Linked DNA regions of Saccharomyces cerevisiae S288C. Changing the gene in region 1 together with any one later gene gives a genetic interaction. Each region holds a gene or a part of one and is shown in the gene's direction. Other genes may lie near its edges. The genes, in order: YEH2, KAR5, EUC1 and ILV3.

Evidence for each region.
Region 2: mutations in YEH2 (region 1) and KAR5 together harm fitness more than expected from each alone (negative genetic interaction), as found in Saccharomyces cerevisiae (one large-scale study listed by BioGRID).
Region 3: mutations in YEH2 (region 1) and EUC1 together harm fitness more than expected from each alone (negative genetic interaction), as found in Saccharomyces cerevisiae (one large-scale study listed by BioGRID).
Region 4: mutations in YEH2 (region 1) and ILV3 together harm fitness more than expected from each alone (negative genetic interaction), as found in Saccharomyces cerevisiae (one large-scale study listed by BioGRID).

The regions. Positions count from the first base shown.
Region 1 is NC_001144.5:179,904-186,531, reverse strand, and holds YEH2 (sterol esterase), read left to right. Parts: upstream 1-3,126; coding exon 3,127-4,743; downstream 4,744-6,628. Other genes in the region: IZH3 (Izh3p), read left to right, coding at 1-1,034; guanine nucleotide exchange factor SDO1, read left to right, coding at 1,606-2,358; IRC25 (Irc25p), read right to left, coding at 2,370-2,909; PSR2 (putative phosphatase), read right to left, coding at 5,051-6,244. UniProt on the Saccharomyces cerevisiae protein: Mediates the hydrolysis of steryl esters. Required for mobilization of steryl ester, thereby playing a central role in lipid metabolism.
Region 2 is NC_001145.3:396,924-403,357, forward strand, and holds KAR5 (Kar5p), read left to right. Parts: upstream 1-2,778; coding exon 2,779-4,293; downstream 4,294-6,434. Other genes in the region: RIM9 (Rim9p), read left to right, coding at 154-873; AEP1 (Aep1p), read left to right, coding at 980-2,536; SOV1 (Sov1p), read left to right, coding at 4,618-6,434.
Region 3 is NC_001145.3:490,979-495,450, reverse strand, and holds EUC1 (Euc1p), read left to right. Parts: upstream 1-1,658; coding exon 1,659-3,047; downstream 3,048-4,472. Other genes in the region: FOL3 (dihydrofolate synthase), read right to left, coding at 1-452; MED11 (Med11p), read left to right, coding at 956-1,351; HFD1 (hexadecenal dehydrogenase), read left to right, coding at 3,459-4,472. UniProt on the Saccharomyces cerevisiae protein: Transcription factor-like protein that binds to specific DNA motifs called ub-HS-motif associated with several locations where proteins other than histone H2B are ubiquitinated (ub-hotspots).
Region 4 is NC_001142.9:462,550-469,644, reverse strand, and holds ILV3 (dihydroxy-acid dehydratase ILV3), read left to right. Parts: upstream 1-3,436; coding exon 3,437-5,194; downstream 5,195-7,095. Other genes in the region: REC107 (Rec107p), read left to right, coding at 66-381, 462-1,090; TES1 (palmitoyl-CoA hydrolase), read left to right, coding at 1,364-2,413; peptidylprolyl isomerase ESS1, read left to right, coding at 2,612-3,124; YJR015W (uncharacterized protein), read right to left, coding at 5,392-6,924. UniProt on the Saccharomyces cerevisiae protein: Dihydroxyacid dehydratase that catalyzes the third step in the common pathway leading to biosynthesis of branched-chain amino acids.

The DNA.
Region 1 (6,628 bases):
ACTCATACAACCATGGCAAAGCGTATAGTCTAGGTGAAACTCAACATTTACATTATTATCAGTTGCCATTCCCATGGAGGGAAAACAGATACATAATCCATGGCTATAGGTTTTACAATACCCATTCCAAATCTTTGTTGTCTATCTTTAACTGGTACGGCTGGCATAATGAAACTTCAAATATTTGGTCTCATTTGTTAGGAGCCATTTATATAATCTACTTGGCAATTTACGATTTCCCTCAGTCTGAAGTTTGGCGGAATTCCCAGGTTCCACCACAGGCTAGATGGATTGTTTTCATGTTTTTGGCAGCTGCGTTGAAATGTATGCTAAGCTCCGTGTTTTGGCATACTTTCAACGGAACGTCCTTCTTGAAGCTACGTTCTAAATTTGCGTGTGTCGACTATAGCGGTATTACGATCTTAATTACAGCTTCGATATTGACAACGGAGTTTGTTACCATGTATTCATGTTACTGGGCGATGTACACTTACATGAGTATTTCTCTGGCGCTGGGTGTATTTGGTGTGTTTATGAATTGGTCGCCTCGCTTTGATAGACCTGAAGCAAGGCCATTAAGAATTAGATTCTTCATTTTGCTGGCTACTATGGGTGTATTGTCGTTTTTACATTTGATATTTTTGACTGATCTTCATTATGCTGCAACGCTATTTAGCCCCGTCACATACAAATCTGTTGTTTGGTATTTGGTTGGTGTGGTATTTTACGGTTCGTTCATTCCTGAACGGTTCAGATCTGACGTTCAGGTTGATAAGACCATTCCAACAAACTACGAATTATCTACTGATTTAGAAATCATCACAAAGCAAAGGGAAATTCATTTTAGAGAGGTGCCAACAGCCCATTCCAAATGCAGTTCCTGTCCGTCTCATGCCAAATCATTTAAATCTCTATGGTGGGTTGACTATTTTGGTTGTTCGCACACTTTTTGGCATTTCTTCGTAGTGTTGGGTGTCATCGGCCATTATAGAGCTATTTTAGATATGTTTGCCAAGAGGTGGATTTTGTCATGATGGTATGACTGACTACCTTTACTTACAACATCCTGCACTTTTTCTGTATACGATAAACGGACTTAAAAGAAAGAAAAGCCTACAATTACATTGTTGGAGAAGCCACATAGCAATTTCGAAAAAAACCAGAAATTGTAAACCACGAATTCTCCTGTATTATTTCATTGTTAAAATTTTTTTTTTACTTATATTATACCCATCTTTTTCGATATTCCTGCTGGCATTGTTTTGGCTACATTTTCAAGAAACTTTGGATCCAAAGACAAAAGGAACAAACGAAATCTAAAAGCAAAAAAAAAGTTGACTGATTATAAAAACTACATTACGACGAAAAGAAAATAATAAAACTGTGTACTTTTAGTTTTGCATTTATGTATTGACTGTTATTTAACTTATTATGACCTCATGAAAGAACAAAACTTAGCGTGTATTGTTCTGCTCAGTGCCTTGTATATATAATAATGTTCATGAAAAAATTTTTCTAGGCCGAACTTAAGTGATTTCATGCAGTAGTAAAAGTTTTTAAAATTTTTACTAAAATAGTTCTGAGAAAGAAAAGGTAAAACACGCAATGCCTATCAATCAACCGTCGGGACAGATTAAGTTAACTAATGTTTCATTAGTGAGATTAAAAAAGGCTCGCAAGAGATTTGAAGTCGCGTGCTACCAAAATAAGGTCCAAGACTATCGAAAAGGAATTGAAAAAGATCTGGATGAAGTGCTGCAGATACATCAAGTTTTCATGAATGTTTCGAAAGGCTTGGTTGCTAATAAGGAAGATCTACAAAAGTGTTTCGGGACTACAAATGTTGATGATGTCATCGAGGAGATCATGCATAAGGGAGAGATTCAATTATCGGAAAAAGAAAGACAATTAATGCTTAATAAAGTTAATAACGAAATGCTTACAATAGTTAGCGCTAAATGTATAAATCCTGTGTCAAAGAAAAGATATCCGCCCACAATGATCCACAAAGCTTTACAGGAACTGAAGTTCAGCCCTGTTATTAACAAACCTGCCAAATTGCAAGCTTTAGAGGCTATCAAATTATTGGTTTCTAAGCAAATTATTCCAATAGTAAGGGCGAAGATGAAAGTCAAAGTGGCCATAAGTGAGCCATCTAGACAACCCGAACTTATTGAGAAGATTAGTAAATTGATAGCTTCATCGCCTGGAGAGTCAACGAAGCCGGAATTGGATCCTTGGACATGTACAGGTCTTATCGATCCTGTCAATTATAGAGATTTGATGACCCTATGTGATAAAAAGGGAACTGTGCAAGTCTTGGATATGGCAGTCATAGATAATACAACGCATAACTAATTTATATAGAATCACTTTGCATACATATCTTTGATACACTTTAACACAAAAACTAATTTGCCAAAATCATTATCGTCAGCGCTTTGTTCCTTCGTTGCTCTCCATATCTTACTGCTCATGGATATCAGCAAGCTGAATTGCATGTTGTCTTGGGCCATCGTACCGCTCACTTCTGGTAGAATAACTCTCCTATATAGTTCGGCAATCTGTACGCATACCACGGGTACTTTAGGATCGGCACTATCTCCCAACTTGGTAACCACTTGATAATCAGATAAATGGTCTCTTACAAATTCTTCTTCCTCATCGTCATAATCGCCACCCGTGTTTCCTAGGTTTCCTGCCAGTGGTACGTTGATATCGAGAATTGGGTTTAGTCCTTTTGAAGATACCTCATAGGTGGAATCCATTTCCCCATTTAGTCTGATTTGCAATAGAATTGTGTTATTAAAGTGCGTGGCTTGTACATACAATTCTTTGTTTTCGGATGAAGCGTTCAATGAGCTATCTTTTCCTTTCGGTAGATGAGTTTGGAATTCATATGATATCATATTTGCAACAGTATTTTGTACAAAAATAGCCCATTCTTTTTGTCATTGTTAATATTTTGATTCACCATTGGCGTTGTTATCCCAATAATTCGCGCATTAAGTTCTTCATTTTTTTTCACACAAATAGTACGCAAATGTTTCTCATCAAAGGTATAATTAAAATTGTTGGGAAATACTCAACTATCATTGGGATCCCCGTGGCACCTTTACGATAAGCATGGTAAATAAGGTGGTTGATGAGGTTCAGCGGTTGGTGAGCGCAATAATTCTCACTTCGTTTATGACGGGGTTATTCATTTTGTCACTATGGAAGAATTACGTGACAGTTCATTTCCAACATAAAAATGATCCAAGAGATACAAGAAGTTCGAGAACCAAGATCCAGCCAAATGACAAGAAGAAGAAACGACCAGCACGTCACTCTAGACCTTTGTCAATATCTTCCACAACGCCCTTAGATTTACAGCGGGATCAGGAAAATAATATTGAATATGACCGTACTGTGACTAGCAAGCTGTCCATGACTAGTAATGCCTCTTTATCAGAGAACGGTGATGGAAATGCTAATATTAAAATGGAAACGAATGTGAACCAAGCCCCATATGCTGCAGAGAATCCCTTCCAAAACATTGCGCTTGCGGAGGATACCAAGCTGGTACCTGACTTAAAGTACTATTATAAAGAGTATGGTATTGATATTGAAGAATTTGAGGTGGAGACAGACGACGGTTTTATCATTGATTTGTGGCACTTCAAGTCCAGGTTAAACGATGGCGTAGAGGAAGTGAAACGTGAACCCATTTTGCTATTACACGGTCTTTTGCAAAGTTGCGGGGCCTTCGCATCTTCAGGTAGAAAATCTCTGGCATACTTCCTTTATGAATCTGGATTTGATGTTTGGTTGGGGAATAACAGATGTGGCTTAAATGCCAAGTGGAACATGAAAAAATTAGGTAATGATCATTCCAAAAAATGGGATTGGGATATGCACCAGATGGTTCAATACGATTTAAAAGCACTTATAAATTATGTACTTGATAGTACCGGATATGCTAAACTATCGCTCGTGGCGCATTCACAAGGTACAACACAAGGGTTTATGGGGCTTGTCAACGGTGAGAAACTATACGCAAGTGATTTTAAATTAGTCGATAAGCTGGAAAACTTTGTTGCTTTGGCACCTGCAGTGTACCCTGGACCTTTATTGGATGAAAAAGCATTTGTGAGGCTAATGGCAAAAGGTATTGATTCTCCGTGGTACTTTGGTAGAAGATCGTTTATACCTCTTATGATGACAATGAGAAAACTAATGGTTGGGACCAAGATTTTTTCGTTCCTCTCATACATCATGTTTAACTACCTATTTGATTGGAACGATGTCTTATGGGATAGAGTTTTAAGGGACCGAAATTTCTTATTTTCACCAGTCCATATTTCCGTCAAACTAATGCAATGGTGGTTGTCACCTCTTCCTAATAAGCTAAGTTTTAAGAAGGGTGCAGAGAAAATTTTTCCAGATAAAAAGACATGGTTTCCTATTGCCAAGAATGATGATGACAGTGGCAATAATTTGGATAACAACAAACTACACTTAAATCCGAAAAGACAAAATAGTGAAGAATTTCCACACATTATAATGTTTATTCCAAAGCAAGATAGATTAGTAGATGGTGAACGATTAATTAATCACTTCATTAATCATGAAGCAAATGCAGTGTACAAAATCTGGTATATTGATGAGTATTCCCATCTGGACGTTTTATGGGCGCATGATGTTATAGATAGAATTGGTAAGCCAATGATAGAAAATTTGAGGTTTCCTAATGCAAGGTGAGGTAAAAGTTTTTTCTTTGTGGTTTCTTTGTAAAATATAATATGCCATAAAAAGAGGAAAGAAAAGCATAATAAATAGATATATGTATAGAGTATATATTTATATATATGCTAGTATATACGGATATATGTATCTGTAGATGTTACACGTAAAGTACAATTGATACATGTAATAAGCAAATTAATTCATTAAGTTTATAAATATCCGGTGAAGTCTTCTGTATAAAAAGAGAAACATGAGTTCGTCCAAACATATAACCGAAGGGGGGGGTAATAAAAAGAGCCTGCTTTTTATGTTACTGAGAAATCTATATCGTCACATCCAACACGCTCCCCACATCCAACACGTTTCCTGATGAAAGGTCCTCCAAAAGTGGGATAATATCTAGTAACTCATTATCATGAGTATCAGAGAACCAAGAAGATATCGGAACAGCATGTTGCGGATGAAAGATGTAAGAGGCCGGCGAATTATCTAAGATGATTGTTTCGGACAATGGTCTTCCGATCTGCGATAAGTTCTTGATGTAGTTACCTTCGTAGTTATAACAAGCTTCTCTGAATAATCGATGATGGATGGTTCCATTAGGGTCCAACGTATCTAAAAGGGGGTTTGCATACCTCGAAACACTTGCCGTGAACACAACAACTTCGTATAGTTGACTCACCCTGTTCAAGAACTCATCGACGCCTGGCCTCTTAATAACATAGACATTGTGAACTTGATCATCGATTTCGACGGGCAAAACGAAATCAGCTGAATGCATATATTTAAAGGAAGAATGTACCAAAGTTTCGTCTAGATCCAATATCAGACATTTTTTCTGTTGAAATTCTTGCAACTTGGGTGGTAGCAGAGTGTCGTATCCGGGGGCATGGTACTGGTCTGGTTGCAAATGCGTCAGGTCAGAGAAGTCCTCCTCCGTTGTAGGTATCAAGTTTAAATCATTATCAGGACTGCTGGCGACATATTGTGGATTCATATCTTCTTGACCCACCTGATACAGACCCTGTTGTGGTGGCGCCTCGTCATTAATACTGGAATTTCTATCTGCGTCAACGTTATATTCATGAACGACATGGTCTTGCTTTTCTTTTGCTTCGTCATCTTCTTCTTCTTCTTCTCCGGCATTGTTAACCTCCGTCATTTCTACGTCTCCTTCATTATAATCTTCATATTCTTTCTCCTCATCGTACGAGTTGTTGGAGTGATCTCTTGATAAAGGTGCTAGTTTTCCATTGCCGCTATTCCCATTCTCCTGCATTGTCTTGGAACCCGCATTGCTGCCTGAATCGGAACTAGACAAAAGGATCTCCGGTGTGGAATATTGCATCTTGTCGCCGTTTGGAGTAGCCTTCTGCTTACGACCCTGAGTTTGAGCTTTGTTTGAACTGTGCTTACGGTTGCGGTTGCGGTTGTGATTAGTTTCTGGTGGTTGGCGTTGACGATGTGTTTTGGAAGTATCTGAAGAACAGCACAGTATATTTGCTATAAATCCCATCTGATGATGATCTGAAAAAGCTCCCTAAAACAGACAGAGAAGCACTCTTCACTCAGTTTTTATTGCCAAATAAGTGGAAAATTAAAACGAAAGAACTCAAAAGCAGCACTGCGCTCGAAGAAAGATATATCTTAGCTTAAATCCTCTCCAAAAGGGGAGAACGAAGAATATGTGTAAATTAAGCGATGCTTCGTGGGTTTCTTTTACGCGCTGCGAAAAAGATAATCAAATCTCTAAATTTTAGAAATATAAGCCAGTCGGTAGCCCCCACAAGTCAATTATATATGTCAAAGTTCGTGGCACTGTGGACTGCTTTCATAAAGCTTCTCTTTATCTGTTCCTTAGACTGTGAATACTGAGGTTTTCTAAAAAAAAGCAAAAAAA
Region 2 (6,434 bases), on another chromosome or scaffold:
TTGATTTTCACCAGCGGCGCGCGCAAGTATAAGCTAAGAAACAATGAATATAGATAGATAGTGATGAGCGTTGAGAACCGGGAAATGAGTAGAGACGTCCTTCTAAACAAAGATTTATACGGTTGAGACAGATTCATTGAGGAAAAGAGGAGAATGGTTAGCATGATCCATATTGTGGTGTTTTTGCTAGCAATCACAACCATGTTCGAAATACTTCCGCTAATAACCGTCCCCGTGACCAAGTACCTATCGTTATCGTCATTCAGAAACCACTATTATGGCCTGTTTGGCTGGTGTGTACGTGGTCAAAACCAAGAATTGATGTGCACGAAAATGAAGATAGGATATGACAGTACAGATGTCGACTCCTCCGGGCACGTTTTGACCCTGCCATCGAACTCAAAAGTGGTCGTCTCCAATTTATTAGTGGTTCACCCGATTTCACTGGCATTCACAGGAACGCTATTAATTTTAGCAGTGATTATCATGGTAACTCCACTAGGGGACTCACCTGAGATGTTATTGTTCACGGCCCTTTTTTCGCTGCCAACGTTCATGCTATGTCTTTTATGTTTTTTGGTAGATATTCTTCTGTTCATCTCCAAACTGGACTGGCCCGGCTGGCTAATGCTAGCCGCTACTATTAGCGTAGCACTTTGTTGTTCCATGCTGTGGGTCATGAGAAGAGTTGTGTCAGTCAAAAAATATGAATCGCAACAGTCAATTGCGCATGCGTGCTCAATGGAACAGTACTCAATTTCCGACATTTACCAGAGTAAACAGAACGGCAATAGCTCAGAATATGAAGTGGCTCCAACACATACAGATAGTCTGATTGCTCCAGAAGTGACATATAGAGGGTTCATTGAATAAGTAACATCATGTGTCATTTTGCACGTTACATCGGTTTGCCAATCGGCTTCCAAATATTTGTACATTTTTTTCTTCCTCCATCACTATCTGTTAAGGGTCTTAGAAAATGATTACTACAGTGCAAGAAATCAGCAAATGGAGAAACCTGTGCTTCATTAGGATGCAATCTCGCAAATGGTACCCAGTACTTAAAAAGACTCCTTTAGTAGCGGACGGTCGAAAGATCATTAAACATGCCGATAAAGTTCCTCATCCGGAAGAAATAATTCACCCATTTTACCAACCAACAGCAATAGAACAATTCACGGCATGCGCTACGGAATACAATCCTAGCCTGCTTGATGGCAAAAAAATTGCTCCATCACTGATAAAACACCCGGTGAGCCTAAAAACCATACTAGTTGATAGCAAATTAAAGTTTGATGATATTAGGGGAGTGAATAAATGGTTGATGGAATTCGTTGCAAGACGACAACATCAAAGAAATATTGTACTTACACCTGCGAGCAAAAGCGTTAGATCTTTTCACGTTCTGCATTTGTCTTCAACCGATATTGCCAAATTAAGAGGTCTTGAAAATATATTATCAGAGATTGAAAACACGAATGATTTGCAATCCAGGGTCGAGTCCGTAAATAATGAACTACAGAATATTTTTGACCGCGACAGTAAACAGACAAGATTATTTTGCGAGAATATACTGGCTTATTTGATAAAGAATTATGGAAACTCGACTGAAAAACTTATACTACTAATAAATGTTACTGAGATGCAATTATATTCACGTTTAGACCAAATGAAGGCCATGAACATTATTTTATATAATATCCTTTGTAAAGTGGAAGCAAATGAAAACCCACCGTACAGTCCCACATTGGTTACCGCACTAGAAAACCTATTGGCAGCGATCAACAACAGATTTTTTCCAGGGCGTTGCGAAAATTCATTGCACCCAATAGTAATTGAACAACTATTATCATATTTCATTAAAACCGGCAATTTGAATGAAAGCAAAAATTTTTTGGGCCATTTAATAAAAAAGGGTATTTTACCAGAGGCTACTATCATTAATAGATATTTGGAGGCAATTGATGTTCATTTCGATAAAAGCACTAAGATTTTTGATATAAGATCCAAATTTGCATTCATAGCAGATCTTGCACCCATAATAGAAAATTATGGAACAATAGACCTGTTCAAATTTTTGATACCTATGTGCCGGCATTTCGACGAATTGTGTTCTCTGCTAAATATTATTCGAAAATCCAATAACGCAAAACGGGCTGTGGATAGCACCTTACCTATTTTTATCAAAAAAGTATTAACATTTACTAAAGATCCAATGATCAACTCCGGAAATCTATCCACTGTTTTCAATATAGTGAGCCCAATATATGGACAAAACGTGCCCAGCGAATTCGTGGAGAAATTTATACTGTCTTTTGCACTTCAAGGAAATTACACTATGATGGCTCATATGATAGATACATATAAGATCAAACTAAGTCATAAATACCAACTACAAATTATTAGGGCTCTCAAAAATAGTGAGAGAAATCACGCGCTTAAGAATACGGGCGCTGTAGGTTATAATAAGGAATTTAAAAAGTACTTCATCGAGAAATATTTGAATTGCACTGAACGAGAAGCTTTACGCCCATAAATCGTCTATATTAAAAAAAAGGCAGCATAAGAGCAACTCACTGCAAAGGGAATTGCGCATTCCACGCAAATAAACAATGTAAATAAGAATACGTACTGTAACTGTGTCACACTAGCGGGTTGTTTTATCATAATTGTTTGGGATTAATCCTGAACAAATTTTCTATATATAAACACTGGTTCGGAATACCAATGAAGTATACATATTCTGGTTCAACAACTGTTTCTATTCAAAAACTTTGAATGTTTGAAATGCGCTACGTCTATTTGTTTGCAATTTGTATTAAGTTTGTTTCAAGCTCCGAACTAGGAAAAATCAACAATCTGCTGCAAGGAAGATTGATATACACAGATAATTCCGTTGCGACAAATGTATTAGAATCCAAATTTCCATTCTTGAAATCAACATGTGTTAAAGACGCACTAAAATTATTTTTGCCACAATGTATTGCAAATGGACTTGAATCCATTGACGCTGAAACAAGGGTAGAAACGGCCATTAAACTTTCAATATGCGAGTTTCAGGCATCTGGCTTGGGCGAAATACCAGAAAATTGCATGGTTGACGACCTAGGATCAATGATGGATTGTATGTTTGAACTAGAATCATCTTCACAGTGGTGGACAACTTATAGTGGAAATTATCAGCGACTATCGAGTATTTGTTATGAAAATCTTCTTCCTTTTGAAAAAGAACAGATACTGAAACTTTTTCTAAATATCACTGAACTTTATGATTCATTTGGGGATGATGTCGATACTAAGTTAAATCATCTGATGTTTCAAATGGAGCAAGATTCTCAAAATTTTTTGGACGATCTGGCCAGGATGTTCCGCAACTATGACAATGAACTGCGAAATGCGACCGAAAGCAATCGAATAATCTTAGAAAACGACCTCTCATTTTTTAGAAATAAAGTGAATGATGTACTCTATGAAACTTCCGAACAACTAGAGGTCCAAATCATAGAGAAGAACAGTCAACTAATGAATGAAGTTGATACCGTCCATCATATTATGAGCGATCTAGCCGATGAGCTTGCTAAAAATGACATAAAATCTAAGATAAATGACTTGAAGGACGACAGCCTGAATAATTTACAGGACCTAGTGGAAATGTCCAACGACGTAAAAGAATATTACTCTAGAAATAACAAGTTAGTTAATACCGAGTTGGAAAACTTCTCGATGGGTTTAAAAAAACAGTTAGGAGGCATGTCAAAGGATCTTTCTGAATCACAAATGGAAGCTATAGAGCTCTTGCAAGGGTTCAATTCCATCCTTCATGATTCATTGTTACCATCCATGACGGATGAGATAGTACCTGAGATGACGAACTTCAAAAATACCTTACTACAAGAATGGACAGCTATAACATCTACACTAAATGGAGATTTTGCTTTATGGAATGAGGAGATTTTTTCAACTTTTAATGATATTTCAGAGAAACTGAATGGCACAAAAAAAAAATTAGACGACATTGAAATCAGAGTCTCACTTGTCCATAAAAATGTCATGACAATGATGAGGGTATTGGATTTTATGTGGAAAACTAGTAAAATGATTATAAGATGTGGGTACCTTGCAGTCAAGAATAAATACTACTGGTTACTGTGCTCCGTTGTGTGGATTTGGTCAAAATACCGTACGTCTCGAGTAAACGTCAAAATGATTCCTATTAAACGCTATTACCAATGGGCAGCTCTTCTACTTTCAATTTATCTAGGAGCTAAGACTGGCTCATTGATTGATTTTTAACATTACCGATGTAACAATATATGAAAGCCTATATATACATAGATGTATAGGTATATAGCCGCATTCAAAGTCTAGCAAAATAAATATTCTTTAAAAATTCAAGGACACCGGATCATGGTGGCCATAATACGGGCAAGTGAACCTAGAGAAGGTGTCCTACGTCACTATCCAAGTTAATTTGCTTAAGAGAGTTCGAGTGCAGCACCTACAGCTTTATCATTGAAGACGAAGCAAAAAGATCTTGAGATTCTATATCATGGGCACAGGTAGTATTCATTAGGTAGTAGTAACGTATTAAACAAGGCCATACTATATTTATAACTCATGTTCAAATACAACCGCTCACTCTGTAGCAGCGCTTTGATAGCAAAGTCTCAGATTCGTTTTTATAGATTGAAGCGGGCGCCATTGAATTATGCCTCCCATATACCTGAAGTTCTTAATAAGACCATCATAGGGCCAGACGAACCAGAAAAATGTCTCATTTTGAAAGGAAAAACATCAGAGGAAATCGAAAATAATCTTCTCAGTAATAAGAAATTTCAGGAGATCAATCCTCTTGATACTATCCAGGAAACGTTCATTCAATATCTGAAATTTTGTAATGAAACTAACTTTAAAAGAAGTAACAAGAATTTAAACAGATTAAAAAAAACCTTAGAAAGCAAGGACTCTAATAGCACCGTAAAAATTAATGCAGTTTTCAATTATTTGCTCGAAGAGTGTGATTTAGAAATCAAAAGATTGAACACGACCGGCCAAACCCAGGTATACAATGAAGAGAAAGGAAATGAAGATGACTTAGAGCAATCCATAATGAACGATATTTTCCGATCAGCACAAGAACAATTTGAAGATCAAGAGGGCCATATACCGTTAAGGAGTACATCATTTTTACTGGAGATTTTGAAAAGTTTTAATGAACGGTTTAATGGCATAATCAAACCGAAAGAGTCAATAACAGAAATGGTCACATTCAGCCAACTTGCTCAAGCTTTTGAAGTTGTTAAATTGATACCAGTGCAAGAAATGAAGGAGAAAGGGATTTACTTGGTCGGAAATTTACTTTATGGCACAGGGAAAGTTCGTTTAGATCCTATAAATGAGTCATTCTATATTGAATCCCTACTAGTTTTTGGAAACTATAAGGCTGCATACAGTTTATTTATTACCAATAAAGACAAAGTAAACGAGCGCTGGTGGAATGAACTAGGATTAATGATCACATTAAGGTCTAACCACTTGAGAAACTTCAGGAAACTTTTAGCCGAGACAGATGCAAAGTACTCAACAAAGTATTCTTATTTGAGCCCAAGAGTTACCAAATTGAGCATACGAAAATATTTGTCGATTGGCAATGTTACTGAAGCTAATATACTGACTGATCGATTTATTAAGTTAGTGGAAGAAGTTGGAATAATCAGAATGAAAGATGAGCAGGAGGAACTTCCCACGGGAGTTAAAAATTTTCAGAATGAGAAACATGCAACTGAGTTCTTAAATGAACTAGAAATACCATCGGATCATGATTATATCAGCATTGTTGATTTCCATCTTTATAAGAGAAATATTCCCATGGCGGCTCAACTTATCAGCAAGTACATGGAAATACCTGGAACGACACAAGAAGATGCCGCATTTCTACTTGTTAAAACCAAGCTAAATATGTTGAAAGATTTTGAAAAGCTACGAAACATTTTTGCTCAAAATAAAGATTATGTAGTGCCTGAGAATAATGTGAAAATGTTGCAAGAGGCATTTGAGAGCGTTATTACTAAGTATAACACTAATTCTCCAATATACAATGAATTGCTGTTTGAGAATGTTTCGGCCTTAACAAAAAGTATTGTATTAACTGATTTTCTGGAAGAGTTCATTACTAAACAGGCTTCTGGACAGTGGATGGAATTAAACAGTGTGTCACGTTCCAGAAAGTTTAATGGCTTGTTGAACATACTTCTCGGTACAGGTGAAGAAGAAAAAGCATATAATATCTTAAAAAAACTAGAAGAAGCCTCAAAGAAATCAAAAACAGATCCAGATTTACTCTATAATCAGTTTTATTCGGAAGTTAATGCATATCATTACGCTAAATTTGTTGAATTTTATAGTCTTCAAATTCAAAATATGAAGGCACAAAA
Region 3 (4,472 bases), on another chromosome or scaffold:
AAACTGATTTTAGTAATACCACAACATGCCTTATTTGCGCCTGGAATAACATTGGTCGCATCAAGTCTTCCGCCAAGGCCTACTTCTATGACACACCATTGGCACTGCACATCATAAAAATATTTGAATGCGGTACATGTTAATAGCTCGAATTCCGTACATTTTAAAGAGTGTGACTTGTTTAAAGCTTCTAGTTGTAATCTAATATTCTGGTATCTCTCTAACGGAATCGGCTTATTGTTGATTGTAATGGAATCAGTAACATGCACCAAGTGTGGAGTGGTAAATTTTCCAATTTGGTAGGACTTTTGTTGCAACACAGAAGATAGGTAAGTACATACTGAACCTTTACCATTTGTCCCTGCAATGTGCAGCACTCTAAGTGAGTTTTGCGGATTGCCTAAATGCTCTAGTAGTTTTGTAATACGGGAAAGTCCCAATTCAATGGCCATTGATATAGCAAAATACAATAAATACACTAGATCAACTTACTAACAGGTGACCTTATCGGTCTATTCAAAACATTTACATTATAAACAATCCTGAGTTTTTCTGCTCAATTTTTAAATAACAATTATTCATAGAGGAAAACACCCGAACTAACCAATGTTGTAGAAGGGCCTATAAATAATATATATAACACAAGAAATATGGTAACCAGGACGTAGCCACCGTATGAGAAGCTTTGAAACATCCAGTGATAAAAAAATCTTGACTTTATTTATATATATGTATATTGGACATTTTAAAAACTTGATTTAAGTCGCTCATTGCGGCGGCTTTTATATTTTGAAAGTAATCGAATGAGTACGAAAATCTGACTTGGACAGTATGCAGGCCCTCATCTTAGCGGTTTTTTGACCCAGTCGTTAGATCTGCTAATTCGATTCAAATCTTCTCATCAAGCCAGAGGCGCGCTTATTAGAAGGACGCTATCAAATCCAAATGAACAACGATGCAGGTTCTCAATACGAAGAGTGAAACGAAACAAGAAAACGAAACAATGCAGCCACCATATATACAAGAACGTCTTAAGTCATTAAATGATATAGAGACCCAGTTATGCTCCATGTTGCAGGAGGCGTCTCAAGTCACGTTCATATTTGGTGAACTAAAAAGAGGTAATGAATCAGTGAAACCCCAATTCGAAAATCATGTCAAACAGTTTTACGAACGACTAGATAAATCAACCACACAGCTACGCAAGGAGATACAGTTGTTGGATGAGAACGTTGGAACACGACTACTGCCCATCAATGTCAACAAGAAGGCCCTAGGCCAAGACACAGAAAAAATGGAAGAACAATTGGATTTATTGTCGGCTATATTAGATCCTTCGAAATCCAAGTAAACCTTAATTAGGACTAGAACACTTTTGTATCAAGTACAAATGTATAATTATATAAACATCACAGGGATATCATATTCCATATGATGATATAGCATTTACTTTACTTCAACCAGTATTGTCTAAAGAGAACGAGTTTAGTATTAGTAAAAAAATTAAAAAAAGGAAGCGTACTTGAAACTCAAACACAAACGAGAGTACAAAGGGCATTGCTAGCTTAAAATATTTAACAATCAACTTCGTCTTTTGCCAGAAGACTACATTTTGTGCCATCGAGAAGTTAGTCCAGGAGTCAACACATTAATTAAACATGCCCGCTCGAGAATATAACTATGTAGAAGGTTTTGGTGGGTACGGCTCGTTGGACGATGATGATTCAGATAGAGATTCTGAACGCAGGAATCACGATCTAGGGCAGCGAACTATAACCACAAGTCCAACAGGAGTATCAAGACATGCTGCATTAAATAGGTACATGATCCCAGGCCGTATCAATCCTCTTTTCAGACCGACAGACGCTGCTCAACCTCCCATAGTGTCTACATCCACATCAGCATCGGCAACAGAACCGACCAACAGAATAGGCCCTGGAAGGATAAAAGAAACCCCTGAAACAAATTTCAATGCATTTCTTATAGCACAACTAACCAGAATGGAGGAGCAAAATGCCAATCTGAAGGAAGAAATCAGCCTAATGAAAAAGGAACAAGAACTCTTCTTTCTAGAGAATCAAAAGAAGTTGGAGAAAGGATTTAAAGACATCAATAAGTATGTTGAAGATGTTTCCGCAATGAAAGAAGTCTTCAAAGAGGTAGTTGGTATTATGACTGGGGAGAGAATAAGATTTATAGACCATACTGGGGAAAATGTTACTCCTCAGGAAGCTGCTCGTGTTGGAAATCCATCAACAAGTACGCAAGCTCATCAAAGTCAGTCAAGATCAACAAACTGGCAAGAATATAGTATGCACGCAAGCATATTAGCCGGCGATCCTCGTATCAAGCCTGAGCCAGGGCTGTCAGACTTTGAAAATGGGGAATACGATGGTAATGAAAGTGATGAGAACGCTACCACCAGGAACCTACCTTTAAATAACCCCGATTCTGTTAGCAATGCTGATGACAGTAATAACCAACTCGATGGAACAGGAAACGAGAATGATATCAGAAACAGAAGAGGGTGCGTTGGAACGTCATATAAACTAAATCGTGCAATCCAGAACGTTACAGATGCGGCCCGTGAATACTTTGAAGGCTTACCGGGCCAACCGTCAGTTCTTTCCCTTGAGAGGAGATATGGGTCCACTTGGAGGCGATCTGCCAAAGAAAGGACTTTGTTCACTAAAAGAATGACCATCATAAAAAGAATAATAGATATAAAAGATGATCCAAGCAAATATGGTTTGTCGCTACCTGAGAATAAAATAAGTAGAAACCAAGCCATCAAGGTTGTCGAAAATATAAGATTGGGAAACAATACCTTCAAAGGACATCATTGCCGATTATCAATGTCCCAGTTATACGAATACTTCTCCAAAAAAATGGACAAACTCGAAGACTATTCACTTACTCTAAAGAGAAGAGGGAAGCCAAGAAGAATTTTCTTGTTAGAAGAGAGAGAAGCTAGATTATCATTACAGCAGCCACATAGTATACCAAATTCCAGTACAGGCACACCAGAACATGATCAAGACACTTAGAGGAAATGGAACAACGAATTTCCAGCCAAAAATTCCGAGTAGTTCATGATGAAAGATTTTTACATGCATTTTATATATAAATATATACCGTCCTATATGGATTTCATGCCAACAGGGTATATAATAGACAATTACCGGTGTACTGATATATCAACTATCGACTCCAAGCCTTTTATCTATCAGTCAATTTTACATCAAGATCCCACTTTTAGATAGGTTCGAAAATTCAATCTAATATTAGTGATTTAATTAGATGGTGGATTGCTTACCCTTTTTTTTGTCGTTTTAGGAGGAGATTCTTCGGATTTTAGGGATAAACGGATACTCCATATATAAAAAACAAAACTTCAGGCATATTGATTATCTAAAAGGAATATTCTAAAACCATAGCCATAGTAATTTATCACCAACATGTCAAACGACGGCTCAAAAATATTGAATTATACCCCAGTGTCTAAAATAGATGAAATAGTTGAAATCTCAAGAAATTTCTTCTTTGAGAAACAATTGAAATTGTCCCACGAAAATAACCCAAGGAAAAAAGATCTAGAATTCAGGCAGTTGCAGTTGAAAAAACTCTATTATGCCGTCAAAGATCATGAGGAAGAACTGATCGATGCTATGTACAAGGACTTTCATCGGAACAAAATTGAATCGGTTCTGAATGAAACGACCAAACTTATGAACGATATACTTCACCTAATTGAGATTTTACCAAAATTGATCAAACCTCGGAGAGTATCTGATTCTTCTCCTCCATTTATGTTTGGTAAAACAATCGTGGAGAAAATATCAAGGGGCAGTGTCTTGATTATTGCTCCTTTCAATTTTCCCCTACTTTTAGCATTTGCCCCATTGGCAGCAGCTCTTGCTGCAGGTAACACCATTGTTCTGAAGCCAAGTGAACTAACACCACACACTGCTGTAGTTATGGAAAATTTGTTAACCACAGCTGGTTTCCCTGATGGATTGATTCAAGTAGTTCAGGGAGCTATAGATGAAACTACAAGACTACTAGATTGTGGAAAATTTGACCTAATATTCTACACAGGTTCTCCCCGTGTCGGATCAATAGTTGCTGAGAAAGCAGCAAAAAGTCTAACACCTTGTGTACTTGAACTTGGTGGTAAATCACCTACCTTTATTACAGAAAATTTCAAAGCAAGTAACATAAAAATTGCTTTGAAAAGGATTTTTTTTGGTGCTTTCGGAAATTCTGGCCAGATTTGTGTTTCACCAGATTATTTGTTAGTACATAAATCTATCTATCCAAAAGTCATTAAAGAGTGTGAATCAGTACTAAATGAATTTTATCCAAGCTTTGATGAACAAACAGATTTCACTCGTATGATTCATGAGCCTGCTTACAAAAAGGCCGTTGCAAGTATAAACTCAACTAACGGCTCCAAGATTGTGCCTTCAAAA
Region 4 (7,095 bases), on another chromosome or scaffold:
AAGAACAGAAAGAAGGAAAACAAGCAAAACAAGGATACTGCAGACGTGTAGAAACATTTAGTAAAATGGTCGCTAGAGGTAGAACAGACGAGATATCTACAGATGTTTCAGAGGCTAATTCTGAACACTCGTTGATGATTACAGAAACATCATCACCGTTCAGATCTATATTCTCCCACAGTGGGAAAGTAGCGAATGCAGGCGCTTTAGAGGAATCGGACAAGCAGATACTGGAATGGGCAGGTAAACTGGAATTGGAGAGTATGGAGCTGAGGGAAAACTCTGACAAGCTAATTAAAGTTTTAAATGAAAATTCTAAGACATTATGTAAATCGCTAAACAAGTTTAACCAGCTACTGGAACAAGATGCTGCTACGAACGGTTCGTACCAACACAGTGCATACCCTCAAGTTTTTTATTCATTTTCTTCCAAAACACATTTACTAACAACTGTAGTATAGGAAACGTGAAAACCTTAATAAAGGATTTGGCTTCCCAGATTGAAAACCAACTGGACAAAGTGTCAACAGCAATGTTATCGAAAGGCGACGAGAAGAAGACAAAGTCGGATTCCAGCTACAGGCAGGTATTAGTCGAAGAAATAAGCAGGTATAATTCCAAGATAACGCGACACGTAACTAACAAGCAGCATGAGACGGAAAAGTCGATGAGGTGCACCCAGGAGATGCTCTTCAACGTCGGCAGCCAACTGGAGGACGTGCATAAAGTGCTCCTGTCTCTATCCAAAGACATGCACAGTCTACAAACCCGCCAGACTGCTCTAGAGATGGCGTTTCGAGAAAAGGCAGATCACGCCTACGATCGCCCGGATGTGTCTCTGAATGGCACCACACTCCTGCACGATATGGACGAAGCCCACGATAAGCAGCGTAAGAAGTCCGTGCCGCCACCAAGAATGATGGTCACAAGGTCCATGAAACGCAGAAGATCCAGCTCCCCAACCCTATCCACCAGCCAAAACCACAATAGCGAAGACAATGATGACGCTAGCCATCGGCTGAAGCGTGCGGCCAGGACCATTATTCCCTGGGAGGAACTAAGACCCGACACTCTGGAATCTGAGCTGTGAAACGGGCGTCCTGCTTTTTCATTCTACACAGGCATATGTAACAGCAGTGTATAGGCTATGTAAATCGGCCCAATCAACAAACAAGCGTTGCTTATTGGACTTGCTACTACCCCAACAAAGGAGAGAGCCTTTGATTGCATCCTCGGAAGAGACGGCATAAACACCGAGCCTCATCCTACAATGAAAAACCACGCCAGTTGGATATAAACCAGAAAAGGGTTTCAATTCAGTATCCACCATGAGCAAGACAAGATAAGACAAGATTGCATAAAAATGAGTGCTTCCAAAATGGCCATGTCCAACCTAGAGAAAATATTGGAACTGGTTCCTCTTTCGCCTACCAGTTTTGTCACAAAGTATCTGCCTGCCGCGCCCGTAGGGTCTAAGGGCACTTTTGGTGGAACGCTGGTATCACAATCGCTGCTGGCGTCATTGCATACTGTGCCATTGAACTTCTTCCCCACATCGCTACATTCGTATTTCATCAAGGGTGGTGATCCGCGGACCAAGATCACGTACCATGTGCAGAATCTGAGAAACGGTAGAAATTTCATCCATAAGCAGGTTAGTGCTTATCAGCACGACAAGTTGATATTTACGTCGATGATCTTATTTGCCGTGCAACGGTCCAAGGAGCACGACTCCTTGCAGCACTGGGAGACGATTCCAGGCCTGCAAGGTAAGCAGCCAGACCCTCATCGTTATGAAGAGGCCACTTCGCTTTTCCAGAAAGAAGTTCTGGACCCACAGAAATTGAGCAGGTATGCCTCATTGTCCGACAGGTTCCAAGACGCAACCTCGATGAGCAAGTATGTGGATGCGTTTCAATACGGAGTCATGGAGTACCAATTCCCCAAGGACATGTTCTACTCGGCAAGACACACCGACGAGCTGGATTATTTCGTCAAAGTGAGACCTCCCATCACTACCGTGGAGCACGCGGGCGACGAGTCTTCTTTACACAAGCATCATCCGTACAGGATCCCGAAGAGCATTACTCCTGAGAACGACGCTCGCTACAACTACGTGGCCTTTGCGTATCTGTCCGATTCCTACCTCCTACTCACGATCCCGTACTTCCACAACCTGCCTTTGTACTGCCACAGTTTCAGTGTCTCGCTCGACCACACGATTTACTTTCACCAGTTGCCTCATGTGAACAATTGGATCTATCTTAAGATTTCGAATCCCAGGTCCCACTGGGACAAGCACCTCGTACAGGGCAAGTATTTCGACACACAGTCGGGACGCATCATGGCAAGCGTCTCTCAGGAGGGCTACGTTGTCTACGGGTCAGAACGAGACATTCGAGCCAAGTTCTGAGGACAATTCCCTCCCACGTATAAACACATACATATATATTCTTATATTATATAATAATATCCTATTTATTATTACATCACCTTTCACGAGCGGGTATCATACCTTTTTCCCTTCGATCTAAGTAGAAAAAGGACCTGAATGATCATTGTGGTACTTATTCCCACGCATAACCGACTACGGCACCACAACGACGCACCAATGCCATCTGACGTAGCATCGAGGACCGGGCTGCCAACCCCGTGGACCGTCAGGTATAGTAAGTCCAAGAAAAGAGAGTATTTTTTCAATCCAGAGACGAAGCACTCGCAATGGGAGGAGCCTGAGGGCACCAACAAGGACCAGCTACACAAGCACTTAAGAGACCATCCAGTGCGTGTAAGATGCCTGCACATTCTCATCAAGCACAAGGATTCAAGAAGACCCGCATCGCATAGATCCGAGAACATTACGATATCCAAGCAAGACGCTACGGACGAACTGAAAACCTTAATCACGAGGTTGGATGACGACTCTAAGACGAACTCCTTCGAGGCCCTGGCTAAAGAGAGATCAGATTGCTCTTCATACAAGCGAGGCGGCGACCTCGGCTGGTTCGGGAGAGGCGAGATGCAGCCTAGCTTTGAAGACGCTGCCTTCCAGCTCAAGGTCGGCGAGGTAAGCGATATCGTTGAATCAGGAAGCGGTGTTCATGTGATCAAGCGGGTAGGTTAGGTTGGCATTTGCTTCTCCACCTCACCTTTTTATGTTCTTATTCCCTCTTGTATCCATTCCGTCCTCGCTGAACCCATGAAAAGAAAAAAAATTAACTAGTCACATAGTTAAATGGCGCTGTTCTTCGCTGCGAGCGGAACCGGGCCTGAAAAAAAATTTTCTCTTTTCCTCTCCAGATGACTCAGTAATATAGTAGTATATTATATAATGTAACAAAAGAAGAGACTGAAGTTTTATTATGCATTGTAGCGCCTGTAATCTTTAGTAACGGATTCTTGTATTTTTTTGTAAACAGCCAAGAAAAAAGTAGAGATGGGCTTGTTAACGAAAGTTGCTACATCTAGACAATTCTCTACAACGAGATGCGTTGCAAAGAAGCTCAACAAGTACTCGTATATCATCACTGAACCTAAGGGCCAAGGTGCGTCCCAGGCCATGCTTTATGCCACCGGTTTCAAGAAGGAAGATTTCAAGAAGCCTCAAGTCGGGGTTGGTTCCTGTTGGTGGTCCGGTAACCCATGTAACATGCATCTATTGGACTTGAATAACAGATGTTCTCAATCCATTGAAAAAGCGGGTTTGAAAGCTATGCAGTTCAACACCATCGGTGTTTCAGACGGTATCTCTATGGGTACTAAAGGTATGAGATACTCGTTACAAAGTAGAGAAATCATTGCAGACTCCTTTGAAACCATCATGATGGCACAACACTACGATGCTAACATCGCCATCCCATCATGTGACAAAAACATGCCCGGTGTCATGATGGCCATGGGTAGACATAACAGACCTTCCATCATGGTATATGGTGGTACTATCTTGCCCGGTCATCCAACATGTGGTTCTTCGAAGATCTCTAAAAACATCGATATCGTCTCTGCGTTCCAATCCTACGGTGAATATATTTCCAAGCAATTCACTGAAGAAGAAAGAGAAGATGTTGTGGAACATGCATGCCCAGGTCCTGGTTCTTGTGGTGGTATGTATACTGCCAACACAATGGCTTCTGCCGCTGAAGTGCTAGGTTTGACCATTCCAAACTCCTCTTCCTTCCCAGCCGTTTCCAAGGAGAAGTTAGCTGAGTGTGACAACATTGGTGAATACATCAAGAAGACAATGGAATTGGGTATTTTACCTCGTGATATCCTCACAAAAGAGGCTTTTGAAAACGCCATTACTTATGTCGTTGCAACCGGTGGGTCCACTAATGCTGTTTTGCATTTGGTGGCTGTTGCTCACTCTGCGGGTGTCAAGTTGTCACCAGATGATTTCCAAAGAATCAGTGATACTACACCATTGATCGGTGACTTCAAACCTTCTGGTAAATACGTCATGGCCGATTTGATTAACGTTGGTGGTACCCAATCTGTGATTAAGTATCTATATGAAAACAACATGTTGCACGGTAACACAATGACTGTTACCGGTGACACTTTGGCAGAACGTGCAAAGAAAGCACCAAGCCTACCTGAAGGACAAGAGATTATTAAGCCACTCTCCCACCCAATCAAGGCCAACGGTCACTTGCAAATTCTGTACGGTTCATTGGCACCAGGTGGAGCTGTGGGTAAAATTACCGGTAAGGAAGGTACTTACTTCAAGGGTAGAGCACGTGTGTTCGAAGAGGAAGGTGCCTTTATTGAAGCCTTGGAAAGAGGTGAAATCAAGAAGGGTGAAAAAACCGTTGTTGTTATCAGATATGAAGGTCCAAGAGGTGCACCAGGTATGCCTGAAATGCTAAAGCCTTCCTCTGCTCTGATGGGTTACGGTTTGGGTAAAGATGTTGCATTGTTGACTGATGGTAGATTCTCTGGTGGTTCTCACGGGTTCTTAATCGGCCACATTGTTCCCGAAGCCGCTGAAGGTGGTCCTATCGGGTTGGTCAGAGACGGCGATGAGATTATCATTGATGCTGATAATAACAAGATTGACCTATTAGTCTCTGATAAGGAAATGGCTCAACGTAAACAAAGTTGGGTTGCACCTCCACCTCGTTACACAAGAGGTACTCTATCCAAGTATGCTAAGTTGGTTTCCAACGCTTCCAACGGTTGTGTTTTAGATGCTTGATGCATTATAGGCCCCAATCGATGAATATATATATAGAGATTCTCCTTTTCCATCATCTTTTTTGTTCGCAATCTTTTCATATATATATATATATAAATATTTATTATAGTCCATTGAATGGATAAACATTTATTTAAAAAAAAACAACGATCAGTATTTTTTTATTTGAAAAGTCGCCTTAATTATAATCTACGAAATTAACTCTGCTTTGCTGCCACTAAAGCCTTCTGTTTTAGTTTTCTACTAGCATACTTGCCAACAAATGGTAACAGTGCCGTATTCAAGGCAATGAGTGCGACTAAAATACCATAATTCCGACCCATCTTGCGTCTTGTCACGTCAAAAAAAATAACCCTGTAGATATCGATGACGTTGTGAACGGGCATCATGTACCCATATCTATAAACATTATTGTTTAGCGCTAATGGGAAGAAAGAAGGTGCAATATTGAGAATGACAAATGATAGGATCCAGAACCCGAGATACTGGGGTCCTAACGTAATAACAAGCATAACCGCATTTTCGTTAGCTCCTCCCGCAGCAAGCATGAAGAGCCACGTAGACATCCAATATACGACGAAGCCACCTCTACCAAAGGACTTGGTAAAATCGACTTGAAAGATGGCGGTTGTTGTGCAGAAGAACAAAGACGCAAAGAAAAAGGTGAACCATGACATAGCGATACGGTAAATTAAACCGTTGGCTGGTCTTAGCACTTTTGCCATTTCTACGTGTAATGGGCCGTACAATAGAAATTGGAAAAAAGTTAGCAGTAAACAGTAAACAACACCGATTTGTGTGGGTGCCAGTAGAATACGGTCTGTGAATGGTCTGTGGTCATAGTATTCGTAGTTATATTTACCTGCTGCAGCGATATACCTTGCATTGTTAGTTAGTGCATAACGATATACCTGGGTTATGTTTGTCAATAACGGCGGCAGATAATTTAGTGTGTAGAATGTATGGTAGTACTCTTCAATGGTCTGAGCAACCGGTAAAATCGTTGATTTTAGGTTTGTCGGGTCTCTACCAGTTTCATATACCACCTGATTAAACAGCGTAGAATTGAATAGTGGTGCGGTATCGTTGATTAGTGATTCAAATAGAGTCTCCGTGGCGTTTGGCTTGATATTAATGGCAAACCAGTATTTTTCGTCGTAAACCAAATCGACAACCTTGTCATTGACTTGCTGTGGCGTATTTACGTCGAACTTGGCCTGGAAGGTAGGACTGTTATAAATATCCCAATCACATGGTATTTTATTGATAAAAGTAGGCAAAGCATACGATATGGAGGGCACTACCATGGAACTGTTATTATCCAAAATTACCACAGGGGGTTCCTGGATAACAACCAGAAGCTTAACTTTGTGTAGATACTTGCTGGTGTCGTAAAGAGCCCCCCAGAACAACACAAACATTGTAAAGCAAATTATGGCCAGTAAGCAATTTGTGAAAACAAACTTTAAAAGAACTTTCTTCCTTTGACCCTGTAGATTAGGAGAAAAAAATGAGCCACTCGAAGGAGGAAACGCTTTCTTATCCTCGGAATTTGGCTCAGGGTCCTTCGAAGAATCCGTTGTTTGACCATCCATGTCTGGCACACCTTGTGAGACAGCATCACCGACCACGCTGGAAAGGTCATGTATATCGTTGCGTCTGCAATATTCCTCGTCCGCTTCCATATTATTATATGCTGTTGGTTCTATATCATCTAGAGATGAAGTCATAACTATACTTACTTACGGCTGGATTGAGTTGTGTTTTGTACGCCTATGGTCAACAACAAATTTTGCAGTTTTTCGGTTGCAAATAATTTGAATAGGCAATGGGGACTATATTTATTGTCCTACTACGAAGGTTTCAGAGAAGGAACGGCGCAGGCGCACGAGGGCCGGCTG